Linked DNA regions of Macaca mulatta. The protein of the gene in region 3 interacts with the protein of the main gene of each other region in a pairwise test. Links are inferred from orthologs where the notes say so. Each region holds a gene or a part of one and is shown on either strand. Other genes may lie near its edges.

Region 1 (5,587 bases), on a different chromosome or scaffold from region 3:
AAGAAAGAAAAGAAATATCTTTAAGGCTGTTCACACAGGCCAAAAAGGGCCTAAGTGCACTACACTTTTGCATGAAAATGTGTAAACCCAGTTTGATCCCCTACTTTAAATAAGGGTCTAAAAGATTTTTTGCTATTTACAAAAATCAAACTGACTCTAAAAAATACAAGGATTTTCCCACACTGAAGAAATTTCAAAGATTCTGCCACAAGCTTCTAAATCAACTTCTAGTGAATGTTAAATTGGTTTGAGCAATAGGGCAGCATTATGGAGTGAATGTGTCATTTCCCATGAGGACCACTTTGATAAGGCTAACACTTATTTACTGCCAATTAATTTAAATATTTTAAATAAATCTTAATAGTTAAGAGTACTCTTGGCCAGACGCAGTGGCTCACACCTGTAATCCCAGCACTTTGGGAGGCCGAGGCGGGCGGATCACAAGGTCAGGAGATGGAGACCATCCTGGTTAACACCGTGAAACCCCGTCTCTACTAAAAAATACAAAAGATTAGCCGGGCATGGTGGCGAGCGCCTGCAGTCCCAGCTACTCGGGAGGCTGAGGCAGGAGAATGGCATGAACCCGGGAGGTGGAGGTTGCAGTGAGTCAAGATCGTGCCACTGCACTCCAACCTGGGCAACAGAGCAAGACTCTGTCCAAAAAAAAAAAAAAAAAAAAAGTATCCTTGGCCGGGCACAATGGCTCAGGCCTGTAATCCCAACACTTTGGGAGGCAGAGGCGGGCAGATCACGAGGTCAGGAGATCAAGACCATCCTCCAACATGGTGAAACCCCGTCACTAGTAAAAATACAAACATTAGCTGGGCGTGGTGGGCACCTGTAATCCCAGATACTCCCGAGGCTGAGGCAGGAGAATCGTTTGAACCCGGGAGGTGGAGGTTGCAGTGAGCCGAGATCACGCCATTGCACTCCAGTCTGGGCAACAAAACCCAAACTCCGGCTGGGCGCGGTGGCTCACAACTATAATCCCAGCACTTTTGGAGGACAAGGTGGGCAGATCACGAGGTCAGGAGTTTGAGACCAGCCTGGCCAACATGGTGAAACCCCATGTCTACTAAAAATACAAAAATTAGCTGGGCATGGTGGCAGGCGCCTATAATCCCAGCTGCTCAGGAGGCTGAGGCAGGAGAATCATTTGAACCCTGGAGGCGGAGGTTGCAGTGAGCCAAGATCAGGCCACTGCACTCCAGCCTGGATGACAGGGCGAGACTCCGTCTCAAAAAAAAAAAAAAAAAAAACGAAACTCCAACTCTAGAAAAAAGAGAGTACTCTTATGTGACATTAAACTAGAATATGATAACATCAGGCATTACCATAATTAGAACTATACTGCTTTTTTGTTTTAATATTTTGAAATGCTTGTAAAAAATAACATTTTGTAGGAAAAAAAGAGATAAGATTTTAAAAACACACAGACACATAATCTCTTGCCTTTAATAAATATTTTGCCATTTCCATCCTAGTCCTTGTTAATGCCCATCACATTCAATTCAGGGTAAAAAATAAGGTTTTTACTAGTTAAACACATTTGTATATGTGTATGCACTATATACAAAGTAAAGCCAATATATGTCAATACTATCAATACTTTAATATTTACTTTTCCTGGTTTTAGTTTTCAAATTTGCAACGGATGCTATTTGCATAGAATACTGATGCCTTTAAGTCTTAAAAACAGAAATCTGCCTGACCCAAGAAAAAGGATGAAAGAAAGAGATTTGTCCCTTTAAAATCAGCCAACACGTCCTATGTTAGTACTGAAGTACTTTCCAATTCTGGCAGGATGGGCTCCATGGCCACCTGCTTGCACTAGGGCCTGACTAGCATTTTATTAACATCCAACTGCAATTACCAGGACATTCATTACCACTGCTTGTACAAAGCAGAATTCTCTTTAAATTTTTTTCCCATACTGATTTCATCACCAGGTGTCAAAAGGCAAAACCGTGGCCTGAGGCCAAATAGAAAAATGTCATCTCTACAAATGAGGAGAAAAGACAAGGACTTTAAAAAATCAGGTCAACAAGCCCATTAGCCAATAATAGTTTGTAAAACTAGACTGTCTTCACACTAGAGGCTGTGCTAGCAAATGTGGTCCTTGGAAACAACGGCTGTAGAGCTTGAAATGGGTTGCCAGCATGGTTTGCCTTTTTCGTTTTTCATGTTTATTTTTATTTTTTTATTTATAACATGGAATCAGACTATGACTATAATGGAGCATAGCTATGGCGGGGTATAGGCACTGCCAAGGAAGAGACAGCGAAAAGCCCGTAGGGTTCCCAATCTAAGCTAGCAGACCTTCCCATCTTCCTCAGGAGTGGTCCCTGTCTCTGCAGCTGGAATGTGCGGGAGGGAAAGTTACAAGGGCCCCCAAAATGAGACAGCAAAACACTTCCTTCTGAGAACTAAAGGTCATAGGCTTTTAAGGAACAATAGAGCTCAATGTAAGCTTCAGAAAGATGATGACAGTCAGATGAGACGGGGGTAGGGAAGCAGGGGTGAGGAGATGCTCCCCGTCTGGGATAGCTGAATAGGAGAGTCAAGGCCAGGAACTTTAGAAGCACGAGAAGGGCTGGATCTTCCAGAACCTGCCCCAGTGGGCCTGAGAAACCTAAGAGGCTCCTCTGAAAATCTAGGGCATCTATGCATCCAATACTCTCAGCCCTCTCCTCGGGAAGGGAGATAATCCCCACAGGAAGCACCCCCCAAACTGGGGCTTTTCCTACCCTTCAAAAGCCACAAACCCTCACGGAAAACATTTACAAGGGAGTGGAAAGGCCGGGGGCAAGCAGCGGTTCTGCAAACCTCAGGAAGGAGGCCCCTGGATCCAAAGAACTTTGCCCCTGGAATGGGGGGTGGGGTGGGGAGGGCACCGTCTGAGGCCCGTAAGCCTCGGGGAAAGAAGCTGCAGGAACTGGAGCAGGGTCCCGTGGGTGCACTGACGAGGGGGTGGCGGCCTGGGGCGCGGTCGCCGGTGAGGGAGGCCCGCGGGCCGGGCACGGGGGCGCTGCGGGCCCGTGGCTGCAAAGAGCCGGGGCTTGGGAGGCAGAGGCCGGCGTAGGCCTCGGGGGCCCGGACACACCCACCGTGGCGGCCTCGGGCCCGCTTACCTGCTCCTCCTCCGGGGTCAGCTCCGGCGCCATGTCGGGCCGGGGCGCGGTCGCGGGCTCCATCCCCCAGCCACCGCCGCCGGGCGGACAGAACTCGCTCGCGAGCGCGGGAGCCCGGCACGCTCGGCCTCCGCTTCCGCGTCCCCGCGCCTCAGCAGCCCCGGGCAGGCTCGAGCATGGTGGGGCCGGCCAGGGCCCGGCGCCCGCAGCAGCCGCAAACGCCGCTTCTGCTTCTTTAAGAAAAATCTCTCCGAACTGCCCCTCTCTTCCGGGAGGAAATCCTTTTTTATATTATTCGCTCCTTTCCTCACACTCCCCCTTATCTCCTGGGGAAGAAAAAGTGCAGGCGAAGAGCTAACAGCCGCTCGGGATTTAAAAGGAAATCGGAAATCAGGAACTTTTAGAGCCGGGAGCGAAGGGTCGGCGGAAATTTCACGAAGGCCGCCGGCCCCCTCGGCGCCCCGCTTCCTCGGCCGCACTCCCGCTTCTCCACAGCGCCACAGCACTCGGGGCCGCCCAGCCGGGCCGTCCTCGCGGACGCTGGCCCTGCGACCTGCGCGGCTGCCTCAGCCAGGCTCCTTGCGGGCGGCCGCAGCGAGAGGGAGGGAGCGAAGAGGGAGCGAGGGAAACGCGCCCCCCTCCTGGCTCACGGCCAACGCTGCGGCCGCCCCGCGGCCGCCCGAGCCCCCCGCGGCTCCATTGAGAAACTGAGCGTCTCATTCACAAGCTGGTGGCGAGGAGGGCCCAGCGGAGCGAGGACGCCGTCCGGGAGGGGGAGACAGAGAGGAGCCCGGGCGGGGGAGGGGACCCGGGCGGGGAGGGGACCCTAGCAGGACGGAAGGCGACTCGACTGCGGGAGGGAGGAAAAGGAAGAAAAGAGTGTATTTCGTGAGGCTCAGATCTTCGGAGGAGGAGGAGAATACATTCGTTTGCAAATTATCTGCTGACTGGCACCTCTCCTGGGGTTAACTTGCCGCTGCCACCTACGCGTGAGAAACCCACAATCCTCATCTATTTGTCGCTTGCAGCCTGAAAGACCCTGGAAAGGTTGCCTGCCAGGCCAGGAAGCTTAGGTGGAAGGAATCGCACCTGCCTCCCTCTCTCTCCCTCCTTACTGGCTGTATCCTGTAATTCTTCTCCAGTGTAGTTAATGTTAATCCCCCACAGAAACATCAGACTCCGAACCTCATTCAGGAATGACGCGGCCTTTGCAGACCTTTGATTTTCACTAGGGCAAGTGCAGCAAAGGATTCAGGATTAGGTGTACACTCTTGGAATCATTTGGGGAGGAATGGGGCATAGAGAAGGCAAGGCTGGGTCTAGTATGTTGTTGCATTATTCCAAGCCAAAGATAAATATTCCAAAGGGACTCAGAGAACTCCACAACTAGTTCCAAGGCTGAAGCCCTGGAGCCAGTCCTGTGAGAGACCCAAAGGAGGGGCCTTCACACAACAGGAGGGTGCTGTGAGTTGTGATGCTCCCACGATTTTTTTTTCTTTTTTTTTTTTTTTTTTTTTGAGACTGAGTCTCACTGTGTCGCCCAGGCTAGAGTGCAGTGACGCCAACCCGGCTCACTACAACCTCCGCCTCCCGGGTTCAAGCGATTCTCCTGCCTCAGCCTCCTGGGCAGCTGGGATTACAGGTGCGCACCACCACGCCCGTCTAATTTTTGTATTTTTAGTAGAGACAGGGTTTCACCATGTTGGTCAGGCTGGTCTCGAACTCCTGACCTCGTGATCCGCCCGCCTCGGTCTCCCAAAGTGCCAGCATTACAGGCAGGCGTGAGCCACCGCGCGCCCGGCTTTTTTTTTTTTTTTTTTTTTTTTTTTTTTTTTTTTTTTTTTTTTGAGACGGAGTCTCGCTCTACCGCCCAGGCTGGAGTGCAGTGGCCGGATCTCAGCTCACTGCAAGCTCCGCCTCCCGGGTTCACGCCATTCTCCTGCCTTGTGATCTGCCGGCCTCGGCCTCCCAAGGTTTCTTTTTTTGTTTTGTTTTGAACAGAGTCTCACTTTGTTGCCCAGGCTGGAGTGCAGTGGCGTGATCACAGCTCACTGCAGCCTCAAAGTCCTGGGCTCAAGCAATCCTCCTGCCTCAGCCTCCTGAGTAGGTAGGACTACAGGTGCACACCACTGCACCTGGCTAGTTTTTTTTTTTAATTTTTTGTAGAGATGGGGGTCTTGCTATGTTGCCCAGGCTGGTCTCAAACTCCTGGTGAACCGCCTTTGCAAAATTATAACTGAGGATTTTATGACAGTGAAAGAAATCAGACCTGACTCTATCTTGCTTCTAACCCTTAAGCTGTCCTTGTTCATTCCTGGGCATAGGCCGAACTAACTTGGGGAAGGAACTCAGTTCATGGTTTGACTCTGAAACAAAATTGATAACAGCCCTTCCCGAAAAGACCTCCTTCTTCCCTGGGGTCCAGTCTGCCTTTGCAAGATGAACAAATTAAGCTA
Region 2 (5,147 bases), on a different chromosome or scaffold from region 3:
CACTCCAGCCTGGGCGACAGAGCAAGACTCTGTCTCAAAACAAACAAACAAACAAACAAACAATAAAGAAACAAAAATCTGCCCAGGTTACACAGCTGGTCAGTGAGGATCAAAAGGGCTCCTGCTCTGTGAATTGCTTGCTTTTTGCTCCCTTCATCACTGCCCCACCTGGGACCCAGGCCTGACCCTCCACCCTCAGTCCCTACTCACCGGGGACTCCCTGAAGCAAGACGTGTACACCATCTCGGTAGCCCTGGAGCGCGGCAGCATAAGCGCCTGCCTTCTCATCCCGCAGGGCCTGGGTGATGAGATCTGTGGCCTGGCTTAGATAGGCAGGGGTGGGCCCTCCTTCCCCGTCCTCTTCCTCCTCCTGCCCTCCTGGCTCCCAGGGTTCCTGGTCCAGCCTTGCTGACTCCACCTCCATCGTTGCCAGCTCAGCCACATGGGTGGGGCTGGGGGCTGCGCCTTCTGCAATTAGAAAGGGAGGACTCAGACCAGACTAGCCCTTCTTTTCTCAGGCCCTCTGCCCAACCCAAGACCTCTTTTGTTCATCAGGGTATCAGCCTGTCCCCAGTAGAGGGGACCAAGGCCAGAGCAATCCAGAAGTCGTCTGTGGATCAAAAACTGGCCATGATGTATTTGATAGATAGGGTTCATGTGCTTCTGTAAAAACAGCCTTACCGCCGGGTGTGGTGGCTCACACCTGTAATCCCAGTATTTTGGGAGGCCGAGGTGGGCGGATCACGAGGTCAGGAATCGAGACCATCCTGACTAACATGGTGAAACCCTGTCTCTACTAAAAATACAAAAATTAGCCGGGCATGGTGGCGGGCACCTGTGATCCCAGCTACTCGGGGAGGCTGAGGCAGGAGAATGGCGTGAACCCGGGAGGCGGAGCTTGCAGTGAGCCGAGATCGCGTCACTGCACTCCAGCCTGGGCGACAGAGCGAGACTCCGTCTCAAAAAAAAAAAAAAAACAACAACAATAACAAAAAAACACAGCCTTACCTTCCTAATTATGTCATTAGGTACACACTCACTTTAGTTTGTGAGCTCTGGGTCACTGGTCCTATTTCCCTCTTGACTCCAGTTGACCTAGAAATCCAAAAATCCCCTCCAGAAAGTTTCCCTGAAGAATGCTAGGCCAACAACACCAGGCTGAGGGTAGAAATGCTCCAAGCCTTGGAATAATCTTAGAATAGGAGACTTCGAGAATCTCAGGGGTTTTCTGAAGCCTTGCAGCTCCAGGCTCTGGGGACTCTCCCCATGGGCTGAGTGAGTCTCACTGGAGCTGCGTGTGAAGGGTCTTGAAAAGATCCTGGTTGGACAGTTGCTCATGCCTATAATCCAGCGCTTCAGGAGGCCGAGGTGGGAGGACTACTTGAGTGCAGGAGCTTGAGACCAGCCTGGGCAACATAGTGAGAGCTTGTCTCTAGAAAAAATCAAAAACTTAGCTGGGCGTGATGGTGCATGCCTGTGGTTCTGTCCCAGCTATTCGGGAGGCGGAGGTGGGGGGATCGCTTGGGCCTAGGAGGTAGAGGCTGCAGTGAGCCACGATCACACCACTGCCCTCTAGCGTGGTGACAGAGCCAGACCCTATCTCAAAAAAAAAAAAAAAGAAAAAGAAAAAGAAAAAAAAGAAAGGAAAAAAAAAAAAGAGAAAATAGAAAAGCTCCTGCCCAGGCAGGCGCTCAGCTGACACAAGGACAGAGCACTTGGATGCCTGCCACCCAGAGGCCAGACACAACAGCCCTGTGACACCAACACTGCCTTTCCCTCCCATTCCTTCTTCCCACTCCCCAACCCTGGAGAGGCAGTAGCAGGAACAGGAGGAAGCAGAACGAGAAAAGTGAGAGGCAGGGCACTTTGGCTCATACCTGTAATCTCAGCACTCTGGGAGGCCGAGGAGGGTGGATCACTTGAGGGTCAGGAGTTTTGAGACCAGTCTGACCAACATGAAGAAATCTCATCTCAACTAAAAATACAAAATTAGCCAGGCACCATGGCGTGTGCCTGTAGTCCCAGCTACTCGGGAAGCTGAGGCCAGAGAATCGCTTGAACCCGGGAGGTTGCAGTGAGCAGAGATTGCGCCACTGCACTCCAGAATGGACAACAGAGTGAGACTCTGTCTCAGAAAAAAAAAAAAAAGAATAACAGACATGGGCTCTCGCTATATTGTCCAGGCTGGTCTTGAATTCCTGGGATCTCCCTGCCTCAGCCTCCCAAAGTGTTGAGATTACAGGTGTGAGCCAATGTGCCAGGCCTTGGCGAATTTTAGAATGAAAAACTCCAGTGCCTCAGAGCTTGGGACTGTCAAGTCCCAGGATCTCACAGCAAGAAGGTGCCCAGGACCCTAACCTCCATCAGGGGGCCCTTCAATCTCCGGCATCCCCAAATGCCAGTGGCTCCAGGCCCCCAGAGGGGTTTCCCTTTGCAGCTGCTCTTTGAGCTCAGAACTCACTTCCATTGACCAGCAGGCTTCTTGCCTTCAGGATCTGCAGCCAGACCCTGGCCAGCCAGGAAATCCCACCACGAGCTTACAGCGAAGGAACTAAAATGTCCCAGAGCAGTGTGACCCGGCTCTTTCCAAAGCCTTCTCAGTGAGATGGCCCCAACGTGGGAAGTGCCTCCTTTCCTTCCTCATGGCTACTTGTTGCACAGGTGCATCCAGCACACCACACCACGAGCCCTGGCACGGAGCTGCTCATTCTCACTGAAGCTGCTCTTGGTCCACAGGGCAGCACTACTGAGGGGACGTCTTTCCCAGATCTGCGCAGGCACTGAGCAGGCTAGTGGGGCTCTGCCCTCCTCCCTGTCCTAAGGATGTCCTGCCCTGGCTCCTTCCCGGCTGACCCAGCTCATTACCTTCTTTGGAGAAGGGGTCGAAGAGGGCCAGCTCAGCCTCGGTGAGGGGGACTCGGGCAGGGGAACCAGACGCTTCCTCGGTGCTCTCACAGTTAAAGAGAAGATCCAGGGCCTCCTGGGCAGGGCTGGATGGTGGGGGGTCCACTGAGGAAGAGATAATTGGGGTCATGAATACCCGCATTTATTTCTCAGCTTTCAAAATGGAATTACTCTCTCTCTAAACCCTTGCAGCAACCATGGGCATAGACAAGCCCGTTATTAGGGTTTATGCCCATTTTACAGATTAAGAAACTGTAGTGCAGAGAAGGAAAAGGACCTGCCCAAAGTTCCTCAGCCAGTCAGTGATAGACCTGGACACACGCCCATTTCTCACTAAGACCACTGAGGAGTGAGTGTGGCCCCCTCCCCACTCTGTACCCTCCAGCCTTGGTTCCCTCCTCCCACCCTGATGTACCTGGCACCTCCAATTCCTCAAGGCCCCTCCTTTCTGCAGGGAGCGGCTGGGGTAGCCGGGGGTCATCAGGGGGCGGGGTGGGGATCAGAGGGGGTGGCAGGATGTGCAGGTCCCTGGACATCTCCGAGGGTCGGGTCACCTCCCCACCCTGCAGGACAGAAAGATCAGCCATGGGGAGTCATGGGGTGCAATCTGGTGGGTGGGTAAGTGGCCCAAGTTCTGGTAAGGTGGAAGGTGCACATACCCTGAAGAACTCCTTGAGCTGGGGGCTGTTGTTGAGCGCAGGTATGTGCACGGTGAAGCGAAGCAGGTCCTCTGCCCCCTTTCGCCGCTCCTCGATCACTGAGGCTTCAAATCGGCCTACAGCCCCCAGGACAAGGAACAGGGGAGAGTGGCGGTGACCTATAGGGGCTTCTGCCCTAAGGCCACTTTTCCTGGTCCTGCCTGAGATGCTCTGAGCAACTCACTGCCCTCCTACCCCTTCTCCCAGGAATCTTCTCTGGCTCCTCCTGGGGTGAGGGAGGGGCTTCCAGGACAGATCAATTTCCCTATTCATTCATTTGCCAGATGTTTACTGAGCACCTACTATATGCTAGACTCAGAAGGTGAACAGGGGAGGAACAAGTCTCTGCCCTTGTGAGTATCACATCCTACACAGGGGGAGCTAGGTAGTTAACAAGAAACAAAAACATTTCTGATGGCTTTGATCTAATGAGGAGAAAAGTAAGGCTCAGAGAGGGAAAGTGACTTGCCCAAGGTCACACAGCAAGTAGCCCCCATTTGTTTTTTGAGACAAGGCCTGGCTCTGTTATCTAGGCTGGTGTGCAGTGGCACAATCTCAGCTCACTGCAACCTCTGCCACCTGGGATCAAGCCGCCCTCCTGCCTCAGCCTCCCAAGTAGCTGGGACTATAGGTGCACACCACCATGCCTGGCTAATTTTTGTATTTTTTGTAGAGATGGGGTTTTACCATGTTGCCCAGGCTGGTCTTGAACTCCTGAGCTCAAGTGATTACCTTGCCTTGGCTTCCCAAAGTGCTGAGATCACAGGTGCGAGTCACAGTTTCACTGCTCTGTCCTAGGTATTATGCAGTGCAGGCTAACTCTGGTCCAGTTACTGTGTGGCCATTCTGTGGTACTTCCCCACTGGCCTGGCATAACCTGACAACAGCAATCTTTCACCTTGCCTCAAAAGAACAAAAGAACATCTTGGCCAGGCGTGGTGGCTCACACCTATAATCCCAGCATTTTGGGAGGCCAAGGCAGGTGGATCACTTGAGGTTAGGAGTTCAAGACCAGCCTGGCCAACATGGTGAAACCCCGTCTCTACTAAAAGTAAAAAAATTAGGTGTGGTGGCGCACACTACTTGGGAGGCTACTTGGCTACTTGGGAGGCTGAGGCAGGAGAATCACTCAAACCTGGGAGGGCAGAGTTTGCAGTGAGCTGATATCATGCCACAGGACTCCAGCCTGGGTGACAGAGTAAGACTCTGTCTCAAAAAACAAAAACAAAAACCAACAACAACAAAGAACATCTCACGTGAGTACGCAGACGCGAGCAACTGTTCAGCACTGTCTAATACAGATATGAGCTACATATGCAATTTTACATTTTCTAGCAGCTACATTAAATAAAAGGAAAAAAGAAACAACTTTTTTTTTTTTTTTTTTTGAGACGGAGTCTCACTCTGTCGCCCGGGCTAGACTGCAACGACGCAATCTTGGCCTCCCAGGTTCAAGCGATTCTCCTGCCTCAGCCTCCTGAGTAGCTGAGTTTACAAGCGCCCGCCACTACACCCAACTAATTTTTTGTATTTTTAGTAGAGACA
Region 3 (5,659 bases):
GTACTACCCCCCCCGTCTTGGAGGCAGCAAACCCCAGCATCTCGGTCCCCCGGGTGGAGGAGAGCCCTTTGGTTGGCTGTGCACTCACCAGCCGGCACTGAGCAAGGCTGTGGCTGCACGGAGCCTCAGTTTCCCCCTTGGTAAGTGGGAATGGTAATGGCCCCTGCCTCTTATGGTTTCAAGTTAACAGAGAGGGCTGGGCACAGTGGTTCATGCCTATAATCCCAGCACTCTGGGAGGTTGAGGTGGGTGGATCGCCTGAGGTCAGGATTTCGAGACCAACCTGACCAACATGGAGAAACCCCATCCCTACTAAAAATACAAAATTAGCCGGGAGTGGTGGCGCATGCCTGTAATCCCAGGTACTCAGGAGGTTGAGGCAGGAGAATTGCTTGAACCCAGGAGGCAGAGGTTGTGATGAGCCGAGAACATGCCATTGCACTCCAGCCTGGGCAACAAGAGCGAAACTCTGTTGCAAAAAAAAAGTAATAACAAGTTAACAGAGAGAACTCCTTTCTGCGCGTTTATTTTTATTCATTTATTTATTTTTGAGACGCAGCCTTGCTCTGTCGTCCAGGCTGGAGTGTAGCGGCACAATCTCAGGTCACTACAAGCTCCGCCTCCCGGACTCAAGCGATTCTCCTGCCTCAACCTCCTGAGTAGCTGAGCGTGCCACCACACCCAGCTGAATTTTGTATTTTTAGTAGAGACGGGGTTTCACCATGTTGGCCAGGCTGGTCTCAAATTCCTGACCTCAGGTGATCCGCCCGCCTCGGTCTCCCAAAGTGCTGGGATTCCAGGCGTGAGCCGCCGCGACCTGCCCTTCTCCACATTTATTAAGTGCCTTCAGGCAACAATAACACAGTCCCAGCAAGGAGGGTGTTCAGAGAAAAAGGTGTGTGTGTCCAGCTCAGCCCCAATCCTGAACCTGGCTCTGAAAAGAATGATGACGACAGCTGCATTTATTAAGCGCCTATTGTGTGCCAGGTTTTGTGCTTTCCCTGAATTATCTTATTCAGAACTGGGGGTGGGTGGGTGTTGCCCAAGGTCACACAGGGAACCCCCGTGCTTCAGAGAGCTTGGACAGCCTCCTTCCTCCTCCCCTGGAGCTGCTATCTGCAGAGTGAGATAGAGGCCGCTTCCGGACCAAAGGGCAGAGGCCCAAGTCCCTCCCAGCCCCTCCTACCTGCTTTAGTCTTTATCCACAAGCACCCGAGGTCACGGGTAGGCGGAGTCCCCCAGCTGGGAGGCTGTGTGGCCTCCCGGTCACTGTCTCCTCTGAGTTTCTTCGTATGTTACCCAGGGGTGTGGGATTTGTCGATTTAAATGAGGTGGGAGAAGGGGGATGAGGGAATGCTACCTCTCCCCAGGCCTGGCTTGTGGGGAGGAGTGACTGTCCCAGGGTGTCCCTCCCTTAAATCCCTGTTCCTGCAGCTTCAGCAACGGGAGGATGACCTTGGACATCAGAACTGTGGAGGGGGGCCCAGCCCCCACGATTAGCAGCAGATGGGACTGGGAGTGGGCGGGGTGGAGGGGTGTACGCCTCAGACACAACAGGCGCAGAGGCAGCCCCTGCCGCCCTGTGCCTCAGTTTCCTCTCTGGTGACACAGTGCCCCAGCCAGCCCCTCCCTGCTGCCTGCCTCCTGGGCGCTCTGTGACCTAAATTCCTGCCCACTGGCCCCAGGGATGTGGAAAGGGAGGGCAGAGGCCAGGGACCTGCTCCCGGGGGCAGGCACAGCCAGGCCATGCCCATGCCACCTGCTGCACTGCACATGGGACCAGGCACCTGGGGACCTCCAGGGTCTGGACACAGATTTCAGACTGTTCTCAGGCTGCCTGGCATGGGAACCCCCAGATGGTGGGAAAATGGAGGGGGGGACTGGACTCCGGGGATCCACCTGCAGAAGGTGCTCAAAAAAGTGGCACTGTCCTCTACCCAGAACACCCCAGGCCCAGATCAAGTCCTTTCAAGTCATTCTGCGGAGCTTCCTGGAAGAGAAGGCAGAGCCAGTGGGGCTGGGAGCAGTGGCTCCCATGTAAATCCCAGAGCTTTGGGAGGCTGAGGCAGAAGGATCGCTTGAGCCCAGGAGTTTGAGACCAGTCTGGGTAACATAGTGAGACCCTGTCTCTTAAAAAAGTTAACTTTAAAAAGTTTTAGGCCAGGCAAGGTGGCTCACACCTGTAATCCCAGCACTTTGGGAGGCTGAGGTGGGCGGATCACCTGAGGCCAGGAGTTCGAGACCAGCCTGGCCAACATTGTGAAACCCCGTCTCTACTAAAAATACAAAAATTAGCCGGGCATGGTGACCTGCGTCTGTAATCCCCGCTGCGCAGGAGGCTGAGGCAGGAGAATCGCTTGAACCCAGGAGGCAGAGGTTGCAGTGAGCTGAGATTGCACCACTGCACTCCAGCCTGTGCGGCAGGGCAAGACTCGATCTCAAAAAAAAAGTTTTAAAGGTGGGGAGAGAGGCATTTAAGGAGCGCTTACTACATGCTCTTGCTGTAGTTTTGGAAAGGCGAAGGGGCGCGGCGTCACCAAGGGTGAAAGGCCCGGAAGAACTGTAATGGAGTCACAATCGGGGTGCCTGGATCTCCCGCTCTGTGGGCCCCAGTCCAACCTCCCCACATCACAGCTGTCAGACAACCCAACTCCGTCTTAACAAATATTTACGCGCGGTGGCACTAAGCCATTGAGCGGGGCAAGGTGAGCTAGGGCAGGAGAGGAGGAGGAGAGGAGAGTCCTGAGCAGCCCCCCGGGACGGTCCGTTCCCCTCCCCGCCTGGAGCCTCCCCTCGGAAAAACGGGAAGATCTCCACTGTTGCAGCCAGGTCGGGGTCCACGGGGGGAGGGGGACGGCGAAACGTGCAGGACACTGGCATCCTGGCCTCTCCGGGGCCACTGGGCAACTGGAAGAACCGGACTTCGGCATGGCAGGCACCCAGCGCCCAGAAGGAGGCGGCGGGGGACGGCCAGGGATGGAAGCTAGAGAGGGGTGGCTCGGGAGCAGGGTCGCAGGGCGCGGGCAAGGGAGGAGTTGCGGGCGGACCTCGAAGTCCCGGTCACCCCGCGCGCTCCACGAGCAGGACCGGACCCCGTAGCCGGGGAGGGAGTCAGACCTGCGACCCCCGGGCCCATGGCCTCAGTGTGCCCGTTGGCGAAACGGGCTAGCGCCGACGGCTCACCTGCAGCCAGATACCGCTTCTCCAGCCCGGTCTTGGCCTCCAGCGCCCCCAGCACGTCGGTGACCAGGTTCCTTTGCTCCAGGAAGCGCTCCACGCGCTGGCTCAGGCCGTCCATGGCCCCGACGCGCCCGGGGTTGGCTGCTCGAGCTCGCCCGCGGACCCGCGCACCCACTCCGCTGCACGCGCGCCGCTTTCCCGCAGCCTGAGCCGCGCTGCTCCGGCCCGGCGCCGGTGTCCGCCCCCGGCCCCCCGCCCGGACCAATGGGAGGGCAGGGCGGACAAAGGAGGTGGGGCCTGCCCCGTCTCCCCCGCCGCATAGCCCTCCGCCCGCTGCCGCCGCTGCCCAGACCCCGCCGGGAGAGGGCGGGGCGCGCCGGCCCAGGGCACCGATTGGCCGGGCCAGAGCGAGACGTAGCTGATTGGAAGGGCGGCGTCAGGGGACGGGATTATTGGCTGCGACACTGAGGGGGTGGAGCCAGGGCGAGGAGAGGCGCGGGTGGGGGCGGAGCCGGTGGGTGGGGCTAAAGAAAAATCCGAGCCGATTGGAGAAACGGGACGCGATTCATTGGCGAGAGCAGTGGAGGGCGGGGCTGATCACAAAGGAGGCAGGGCGGAATGGTAGGGGCGGGAATGGGGCGGGGCTTATCGGGGGAGGCGGGATTACTCGAAAGAATGATTCTGATTAGCCCGGATAGGAGGCCGGGCTGATTCTCGAAGGAGGGGTGTGTTGGAAAGTGGGCGAGGCCAAAGAAAGGGTAGGACGCGTTACTGCAACAGTGAACCCGCTTCTCTGGGTTAGTCCTGTCGTTGTACAAATGGGAAAACTGAGGCTCCCGAGGGTGTGGGTCTGCGGGAGACGGGCAGGCGTGCGTCCCTCCCCCGCTTCTGTCAGATCTTCGCGCCCGTCTTGGCTGAGTAGCCGCAAGGCCCCCTGGGAGTCGAAGCCTTCCGCGTTGCTATGGAGCCGGGGGCTGAGAGGACGCCTGGGTCCACTCGGCGGTTTGGCGGGAGGGAGGGGCTTTGCGCAGGCCCCGCCCCCGGCCCCGCCCCGCCTCCATGCGGCCCGCCCCGATTGCGCTGTGGCTGCTCCGGGTCTTGGCCCTGGCCCTCGTCCGCCCCCGGGCTGTGGGGTGGGCCTCGGTCCGAGCCCCCATCTATGTCAGCAGCTGGGCCGTCCGGGTGTCTCAGGGTAACCGGGAGGTCGAGCGCCTGGCACGCAAATTCGGCTTCGTCAACCTGGGGCCGGTGGGTGGGACCGGGATGGACGGGAAGTGGGGGCGTGGAAGGGACTAGAGGACCCTAGACCCCGACAAGTGGGAGGGAGCCCACAAGGTCTCCTAAATATCAAGAGCCTCAGCCCACCCCTGCCTCAGCCAAGTTCAGCTTCTGGGACTCCCAGAGAGCACCTGGTGGGGAAGGACAAGAAAGGGGGCTGTTACCGGCCCTCGGGGGCTCCAGCAGGGGAGCCTGGTCCTATCGGTGCGGCCGCTTCCCCACATCCCCAGATCTTCCCTGATGGGCAGTACTTTCACCTGCGGCACCGGGGCGTGGTCCAGCAGTCCCTGACCCCGCACTGGGGCCACCGCCTGCACCTGAAGAAAGACCCCAAGGTGAGCCTGGCCTGGAGGCCACCGTCTCAGGGTCTCAGCCGCCTCCTGGGGCCACTAGCCATCTTCTGTGGTTCTCGTGGTTGTTATGAACAGCTGTGTGCTTTCTGTGGCTCAGACCCACCTGGACCACAAGTCTGTACAGCAGGAGGAGGGAGGGAGACCCAGATACGGAAATCATGGCGCCTGCCAGGGCGTGGTACACAGTGGTCACCTCTTGCCCTTCCCCTCCCTCCTCTGGGTCCCAGGGGCTCTGGTAAGGAGGAACAGATGGAATGCCTTCCCCACCGTCTAGGTCATAGGATGGAGGGAAGGGGATTTTACAACACAGGAATGGGTTCCAAAGAGTAGGAGCCTTAAAGTCACCCAGTGGCCCTCAGGACGCAGTGTCCGGGTGCTCAGAAAGGGGCCTGGGTCCGATCGGGCTGGGCCCTGTCTAGAAAATGCCTGAGATGTCAAGCTGAGGGGTTGAGATGGAGCCTTGGAAGCCCTCGGAGGCCAGGAAGTGCCTTGAACAGGACTGGACAGCTGCCTGCTTATAGCACTGGGAGGGAAAGCAGTGGCCGGTTCCTGATGTGGTTTGCAAGAGAGAAGCCAGGCCTGGTGTGGTGATTCATGCCTGTAATCCCGGCACTTCAGGAGGCCAAGGCAGGCAGATTATTTGAGCTCAGGAGTTTGAGACCAGCCTGACCAACATGGCGAAACCCCGTCTCTACTAAAAATACAAAAATTAACTGGGCATGGTGGTGTGCGCCTGTAGTCCCAGCTACTTGGGAGGCTGAGGTAGGAGAATCGCTTGAACCCGGGAGGCAGAGGTTGCAGTGAGCCAAGATTGCACCACTGCACTCCAGCCTGGGCGACAGAGCAAG
Region 4 (5,932 bases), on a different chromosome or scaffold from region 3:
CCTCAGCCTCCCCAGTAGCTGGGACTACAGGCACACACGACCAAGCCTGGTTCATTTTTGTATTTTTGGTAGAGAAAGGGTTTTGCCATGTTGACCAGGCTGGTCTAGAACTCCTGACCTCAGGTGATCCACCCATCTGGGCCTCCCAAAGTGCTGGGATTACAGGCATGAGCCAACTGCTTTGGCCTCACACTGTTAATGAGGGCTATTATTCCCATTTTACTGATAAGACTGAGGCTGAAAGAAGGTAAGAATTGCCCGGGAGCTGAGAAGCAGAGAGGAGACCCTGAAATTCACATCCTCCGATTCCAAAACCCCTGCCTTCCTTGTCCTTGTTGCAGCAAGACCCCTCTGAGGGGCCTGGAAATGGCCTCGATAAGCATTCGTGATTTATGAAGCCTCCAGATGGACCCCAACAGCCTCCTCTTCTCCCCAGAACAAAGAGACATGCTGGGTCTGGGCACGACAACCCACGGTCTCCTTCTAGTCCCATATGTGAGGGGGTACCTGGCCTTCCCCACGATGTCAGAGCTGTAGGTGTCTGGCTGGAAGGGCCCCACCCCGAGGCCATGCCCCTCTCACAGGAACCTGAGACCTAAGTAGGGTCCCCCAGAGACACATCTCAGAGAGGCCTGGACTGGTGCGAGAACCCAGTGAAGGAACTGGAACACCCTGGGGGGAGGGAATCTGGAAACTGGAGCACAGCGGGAGGAGAAGGGGCCCCCAGCACCGTGATGGAGTGCACTGAGGAGGCAGCCTGAGGACGCCAGCTCCGCGACTCTCATCTACTGTCCGCCTGCCAGAAGCTGGACTTGGCATCTTGCACACACTCACACCTAATCTCCAAAGGCCCCAGCCAGCTGGGCACCACGACGATCCCATTTTACAGATGAGGCAAGTGAAGTGTGGAACAGCTATTAGACTGTCCTAAAGCCAGGCAGTTAGAATGCCATGGGACAACTCCCAGTTCAGGGCTCGGTTCTGAATCCAGCGCTGCCTCTTCTGAGAAATAGGAACGTGAGGAAGTCACTGACTTCACTGGCAAGACAGGCAAGATAATAAAATAGGAGAATGTGAAAAGTACACAGAACTAAATCGGTATGAGTTTTTTTTTTTTTTTTTTGAGATGGAGTCTTGCTCTGTTGTCCAGGCTGGAGTGCAGTGGTGCAATCTCGGCTCACTGCAACCTCCCTCTCCTGGGTTCAAGTGATTCTCCTGCCCCAGCCTCCCAAGTAGCTGGGACTATAGGCATGCGCCACCACGCCCAGCTGATTTTGTATTTTTAGTAGAGATGGGGTTTCATCATGTTGGCCAGGCTGGTCTTGAATTCCTGACCTCAGGTGATTTGCCTGCCTCAGCCTCCCAAAGTGCTGGGATTACAGGTGTGAGCCACTGCGCCTAGCCTTCAATATGAGTTTTTAAAATTCAGTAAAACAATTTCTGAAGGCTGATGTTGGGGCAGGGAGTTAGGGGCCTCTACAGAATTATCCTAGAGACATAGATGCTGAGCGGGCTGTGTGAGCCTAGCCTCAGTCAGCAACCCTCGAGCATTTGCTGTGTGCCACCACAATAAAGTGGCCACCTCCCAGACTGTGACCTGCTTGTCATCCAATGGGGGTGATGGGTCAAATCTCATAGATGCAGGAGAGCAGGGAGAAAGGAGGGTGGGGACAGATCCAAATGCTCTAGGGGCCAACCAGCCAGAACAGGTGGGGCCCAAGAGGTGCCCACCAGGGTCTAGGTCCCAACCACATGTGTCGCCTACACTATCTGAGCAAGCCTCACACCATCTCTTAGAGACAGGGGCCAACAGTTCCATCTTTAAGATGAGAGGGCTGAAGTCAGAGAGGTTAAGGAAAATGTCTGAAATCACACAGCTGGCTACTGATGGGGTTGGATTTAGAATCCAGATCTGTGAGAAAAGGAAGAGGACAGAGAGGAAAGGCTGTGAAGACCACAAAACAGCAACAGAGAGGATGGGCTGTCTCCCAGGGCCGGATTGCAGGTGCAATGGAAGCCAGTGACTGATGATAGTGACTGAGAGGGGCCTCATCCACCCTGGCCAGGGACTTAGAAAGTCCACCAGAATCCAGTGAGCCCATCTGGTGAGGGAAGAAGGGTCCTGACTCCTCTACCAGGAGATGAGGGAACAGTGCATGGGGTCTCCAAAGCCTAGACCCCTCCTTGAGCCCCCTACACATGTCTCCTGTGAGCATTTCTCATCCAGGCCCTTTGGGGGCAGGAAGAGGGGGAGGAGAGAGGAACCAGGAGATCCGTTCACCATGCAGGGCTCTAAAAACCCATGGTGGGGGCCGGGCGCGGTGGCTCACGCCTGTAATCCCAGCACTTTGGGAGCAGGAATCACATGAGATCAGAGGTTTGAGACCAGCCTGGCCAACACGGTGAAACTCATCTCTACCAAGAACACAAAAATTAGCCATGCATGGTCGCGTGCCTGTAATCCCAGCTACTCGGGAAGCTGAGGCAGGAGAATCCCTTGATCCTGGGAGACGGAGGTTGCAGGGAGCCGAGACTATGCCACTGCACTCCAACCTGGGTGACAGAGTGGGACGCCATCTCAAAACAAAACAAACAAACAACCAACCCATGGAACTGTAAGCCTTCCTAGGGGGTTAACAAGTTCAGCGGCCTGTGCTGTTCCCTTCCAAGCTGGGTGAGCTGGGCCTGCCTTAAGTGGGCTCCACAAAGAAAAAGTTGGCAAGGGATTGGAGGGGGTGCCAGCCCCGTGGCTAACTGGGCACAGCGCTGGCACTTCTGAGCACCCAGCCCGTTTCCAGTGTCCCAGGAACAGCCTGCACCTTCCCTTCTCTACAAGTCTGTCACGAGCTATTGCTGCTTTATTTATTTATTTTTTTGTAAAGATGGGGTCTCCCTATGCTACCCAGGCTGGTCTTGAACTCCTGGCCTTAAGCGATCCTCTGACCTCGGTCTCCCAAAGTGCTGGGATTACAGGCATGAGCCACTGCGCCTGGCCTGCTACTGCTGATTTAATAAAACCTCACCCCCACCCCCACCTTTTAGCCCCCTCCCCCCCAACACACACGCACATTCCAGGCCATTCAGCCTCCATACCTCTCCCGGATCAAGCCTCTCTCACAGCCCAGAGCATGGGCCAGTCCCTTGATCCTGAACCCATAATGCCACCTCCGTCTTCATTAACAGAAATTGTTTTTCGAGATCTTCAAAAGCTGCCCCCGACTCAGATTCCACCCTGTTTCCTGAGTGCACCCACAGCCTTGTAACAGGGCTCCTGGGCTCTGCTCCCTCATCGGCCATTAATGTCCTCGAAGGCAGTGATCAGCCCCCTCCCCCAAGTGTCGGAGGACACTTACTGGAATCTGTGCTCATCTGACATACATGGATGGAGCACCTACAAGTCCCAGGCCTGGAGGAAGCCGGGCTGCTTTCCTTTCCTCCTGTCTGGGTCTCTCCACACCGGGGAGAACACAGAAGTCACTCCTCGAATCCTCCCCTGTCCCTTTCCCACCTCCTTTTCCTGACCGTTCTCTCTTGCTCTCCAGCCACTGCCCCCTGGATGTGAGTTTCCAGCAGGGCAACTGATCACGTCTCCAGAGGGACTCCAAGGCTGAGGGTCCCCAGTTAGTAGGGTCCAATCTGGCTTCCCACTTCCCAGGCCACTTGGCCTCCGCTCCCAGCAAGAAACTTCTCCCCCCCCAGAGAAAGACGGCCCAGATTGTCACAGGGGGCAGAAATAAGAGGTTCATGGCGCGGGTCCTGCCAGGAGCCCACGGGTCCTTTCTTAAGAGGACAAGCGACACTGATTGGAGGGCAAGAGCCCTGAGCTAGCTTTCAGGGTCCTGACCCGAGCTCCGCTGGTCAGAGACCCCAAGGGGCCACCCCCTGACCGGTGCTCCTGCAGCCCGGACGCCGGCGCAAGGGACTCGCCACAGCCTCAAGTCCTCTCCCCGGGCCGGGCTCCGCACAGAAACAGGTAGCACAAAACTAGGAATCAGTGGGGATCCGCACCCCTTCCTGCTCGGACCCGAGCCGCCCCAGGCCCCGGCGGCCGCGCCCGGAGCCCGCTCCAACTCGGAAAGTGGCGGGCGGCTGCGGGGCAGACGGGCGGTACCTGTGAGCAGCTCCAGCCGGTGTCCCAGCACCTTCATCTCGGCGCCTGGCGCTGCCCGGCTCTGGGTGGCGGCGTCGGGGCAGCGCGCTCCGCCGAGCCGGGGAGAGGAGCGCGGGAGACCCGGAGCGGAGCGGCAGGAAAGCGCGGAGCAAAGCGGGAGGAGCAGCTCACAGCAAGGAGCGCTCTCCCGCCCCCAACGCCGCGCTCCCCCCTCCAAAACGGTTTAAAAAAATCCACCAATTGCATGGCCGCGCACCCCCAAAAGGCACCCGCCGCCACCTGGTCCGGGTGAACTCCAGGAGGCGGAGGGAGGGCGCGGGGTGGGTGCGGTGACACCGCGGGAGGGGTCCCCCGAGCCCGGCGCCCGAACAAAGAGACCCGCCGCCTCCGGGCGTCGCGGTTGGGGGCGCGCGGACGGCGGCTGGGTGTCCCCAGCGCAGCTGGGAAGGCGAAGAGGGAGAGCGGGGGCCGCGGGCAGGAGGGGGCGCCGTCCCTGCGGAGGCGAAATGTGGCGGGAGCCAGTGGGTGCGGGGCTCGCGGGGCTGGGGTCGTGCGCGGGACTGTGCTGGGTTGGGCGGGGACGCGCGCAGCAGCCGCGGCGGCGAGAGGAACGGGACCTGGGCGCAGGGGCTAGGGCGCCGCCGACTCACCGTGGAGATGCGGGCGAGACAGACGCGCAGGCGGGTAGCGGGGCCTCGGCGCCGCCGACGCGCGGGTGCAGGTGCGGGCAGCCGGGAGCCCCTCCGCGTGCCCGCGGCTGCCGGGGCGGAGGCCGGGCTGGGGGCGGTGCGCCGTGGGGGGCGTGCCGGCGTGGGTTTGGCGGGTGTGGGCGCTCGGCCAGCGGGGCGGCGCCCGACCTGGGACTGGCCCCGGACGGACCACGGTACCTCGCGCGTGGTTTCCGCCTCCTGCGCGGCTAGTGCGCCCGGTGGGCCGGTGGGCCGGTGGGCCGGTGGGCGGGCGGGGACCGCGACGCGGAGCCTGGGGGCACACCCTGATCGATCCGCGCCCCTGCCCACTTCTCACCCGCTCCGCCGCGCGGACTGTGCTGGGTGCGCTGCAAGGCCCTGCCCGCCCCTCCAGGCCCCCTGTGGCCGCGCGGCGTCGGGTTCCCGGGGGAGGGGACGGCGCTGCCTTAGTCTTTGTTTAGACTCCCGAGGGGAACCTCAGCCCTGCAGAGACATCCCTACCCCACCGCCCCTGCGCCTGCTGCTCCGCGCCACCCGCCGTCCCCGCCTGGGAACCGAGGGAGAAAAGCCGTGGGGGTCGGGAAGAACAAGGGGCTCAGGGGCCCTTGGGGCGTCGTCCCCCTCCCCCCGTTTTCGGAGCCCGAGGGTGCCCTTGGGGAACTTGTGCAGGAGTGGGGAGGGACATCCCCTAGCAAAGGTGTCCCGGGCCCTCAGGGTCCCACCCTGAAGATGGGGAGGTCCCTGCTCCCCTCAATTCACATCCATTACCTGAGCGGGAAAGGGAACATGGGGACCCGTGTCTTCCTCAGGCTCATCCTGCTCGGGACCCCGGGGCACTCCTCCCTCCTGCCACACCCCTCACCACCCTGCCTTTGGTCCCAGATGAAGTCCCACTCTGGGGAGTATGGAAATCTGATGGCCTGAAAAATTTTATTTGGGCAAGACAGCTCAAGACAGGACTCCTGGAGACCCGGGTTCTGTTCAGGCTCGGCCTGTGACTTTGGGCGGGGCTCTGCTCCTCCCTGGGTTCCAGCCTTTTCCATGCAGGTCATCTTGGAGGTCCTGAATGGCGGTGGGGTTGAGGGTGCAGAGGGGCCTTCAGGCTTCCGGGCCCTTCCGCAGACCTCTCTCT

What was found.
Region 1: the proteins of REEP6 (region 3) and PTPN9 interact in binary tests that used the Homo sapiens proteins (3 or more experiments, as listed by UniProt). The two-hybrid records come from large-scale screens. The link is inferred for Macaca mulatta from reciprocal best matches to the Homo sapiens genes REEP6 and PTPN9.
Region 2: the proteins of REEP6 (region 3) and SNX15 interact in binary tests that used the Homo sapiens proteins (3 or more experiments, as listed by UniProt). The two-hybrid records come from large-scale screens. The link is inferred for Macaca mulatta from reciprocal best matches to the Homo sapiens genes REEP6 and SNX15.
Region 4: the proteins of REEP6 (region 3) and NDRG4 interact in binary tests that used the Homo sapiens proteins (3 or more experiments, as listed by UniProt). The two-hybrid records come from large-scale screens. The link is inferred for Macaca mulatta from reciprocal best matches to the Homo sapiens genes REEP6 and NDRG4.

Annotation. Positions count from the first base shown.
Region 1 is NC_133412.1:53,617,700-53,623,286, forward strand, and holds the start of PTPN9 (tyrosine-protein phosphatase non-receptor type 9), read right to left. Parts: upstream 3,892-5,587; 5' UTR 3,195-3,891; coding exon 3,132-3,194; intron 1-3,131. UniProt on the Homo sapiens protein: Protein-tyrosine phosphatase that could participate in the transfer of hydrophobic ligands or in functions of the Golgi apparatus.
Region 2 is NC_133419.1:9,346,892-9,352,038, forward strand, and holds part of SNX15 (sorting nexin-15), read right to left. Parts: intron 3,680-5,147; coding exon 3,564-3,679; intron 3,468-3,563; coding exon 3,320-3,467; intron 3,010-3,319; coding exon 2,866-3,009; intron 469-2,865; coding exon 211-468; intron 1-210. UniProt on the Homo sapiens protein: May be involved in several stages of intracellular trafficking. Overexpression of SNX15 disrupts the normal trafficking of proteins from the plasma membrane to recycling endosomes or the TGN.
Region 3 is NC_133424.1:2,176,285-2,181,943, reverse strand, and holds the start of REEP6 (receptor expression-enhancing protein 6), read right to left. Parts: upstream 3,540-5,659; 5' UTR 3,299-3,539; coding exon 3,184-3,298; intron 2,830-3,183; exon of another isoform or gene 2,719-2,829; intron 1-2,718. Other genes in the region: PCSK4 (proprotein convertase subtilisin/kexin type 4), read left to right, coding at 4,240-4,428, 4,689-4,793. UniProt on the Homo sapiens protein: Required for correct function and survival of retinal photoreceptors. Required for retinal development.
Region 4 is NC_133425.1:54,073,694-54,079,625, reverse strand, and holds the start of NDRG4 (protein NDRG4), read right to left. Parts: upstream 3,765-5,932; 5' UTR 3,747-3,764; coding exon 3,509-3,746; exon of another isoform or gene 3,370-3,508; coding exon of another isoform or gene 3,354-3,369; intron 1,168-3,353; exon of another isoform or gene 237-1,167; intron 1-236. UniProt on the Homo sapiens protein: Contributes to the maintenance of intracerebral BDNF levels within the normal range, which is necessary for the preservation of spatial learning and the resistance to neuronal cell death caused by ischemic stress.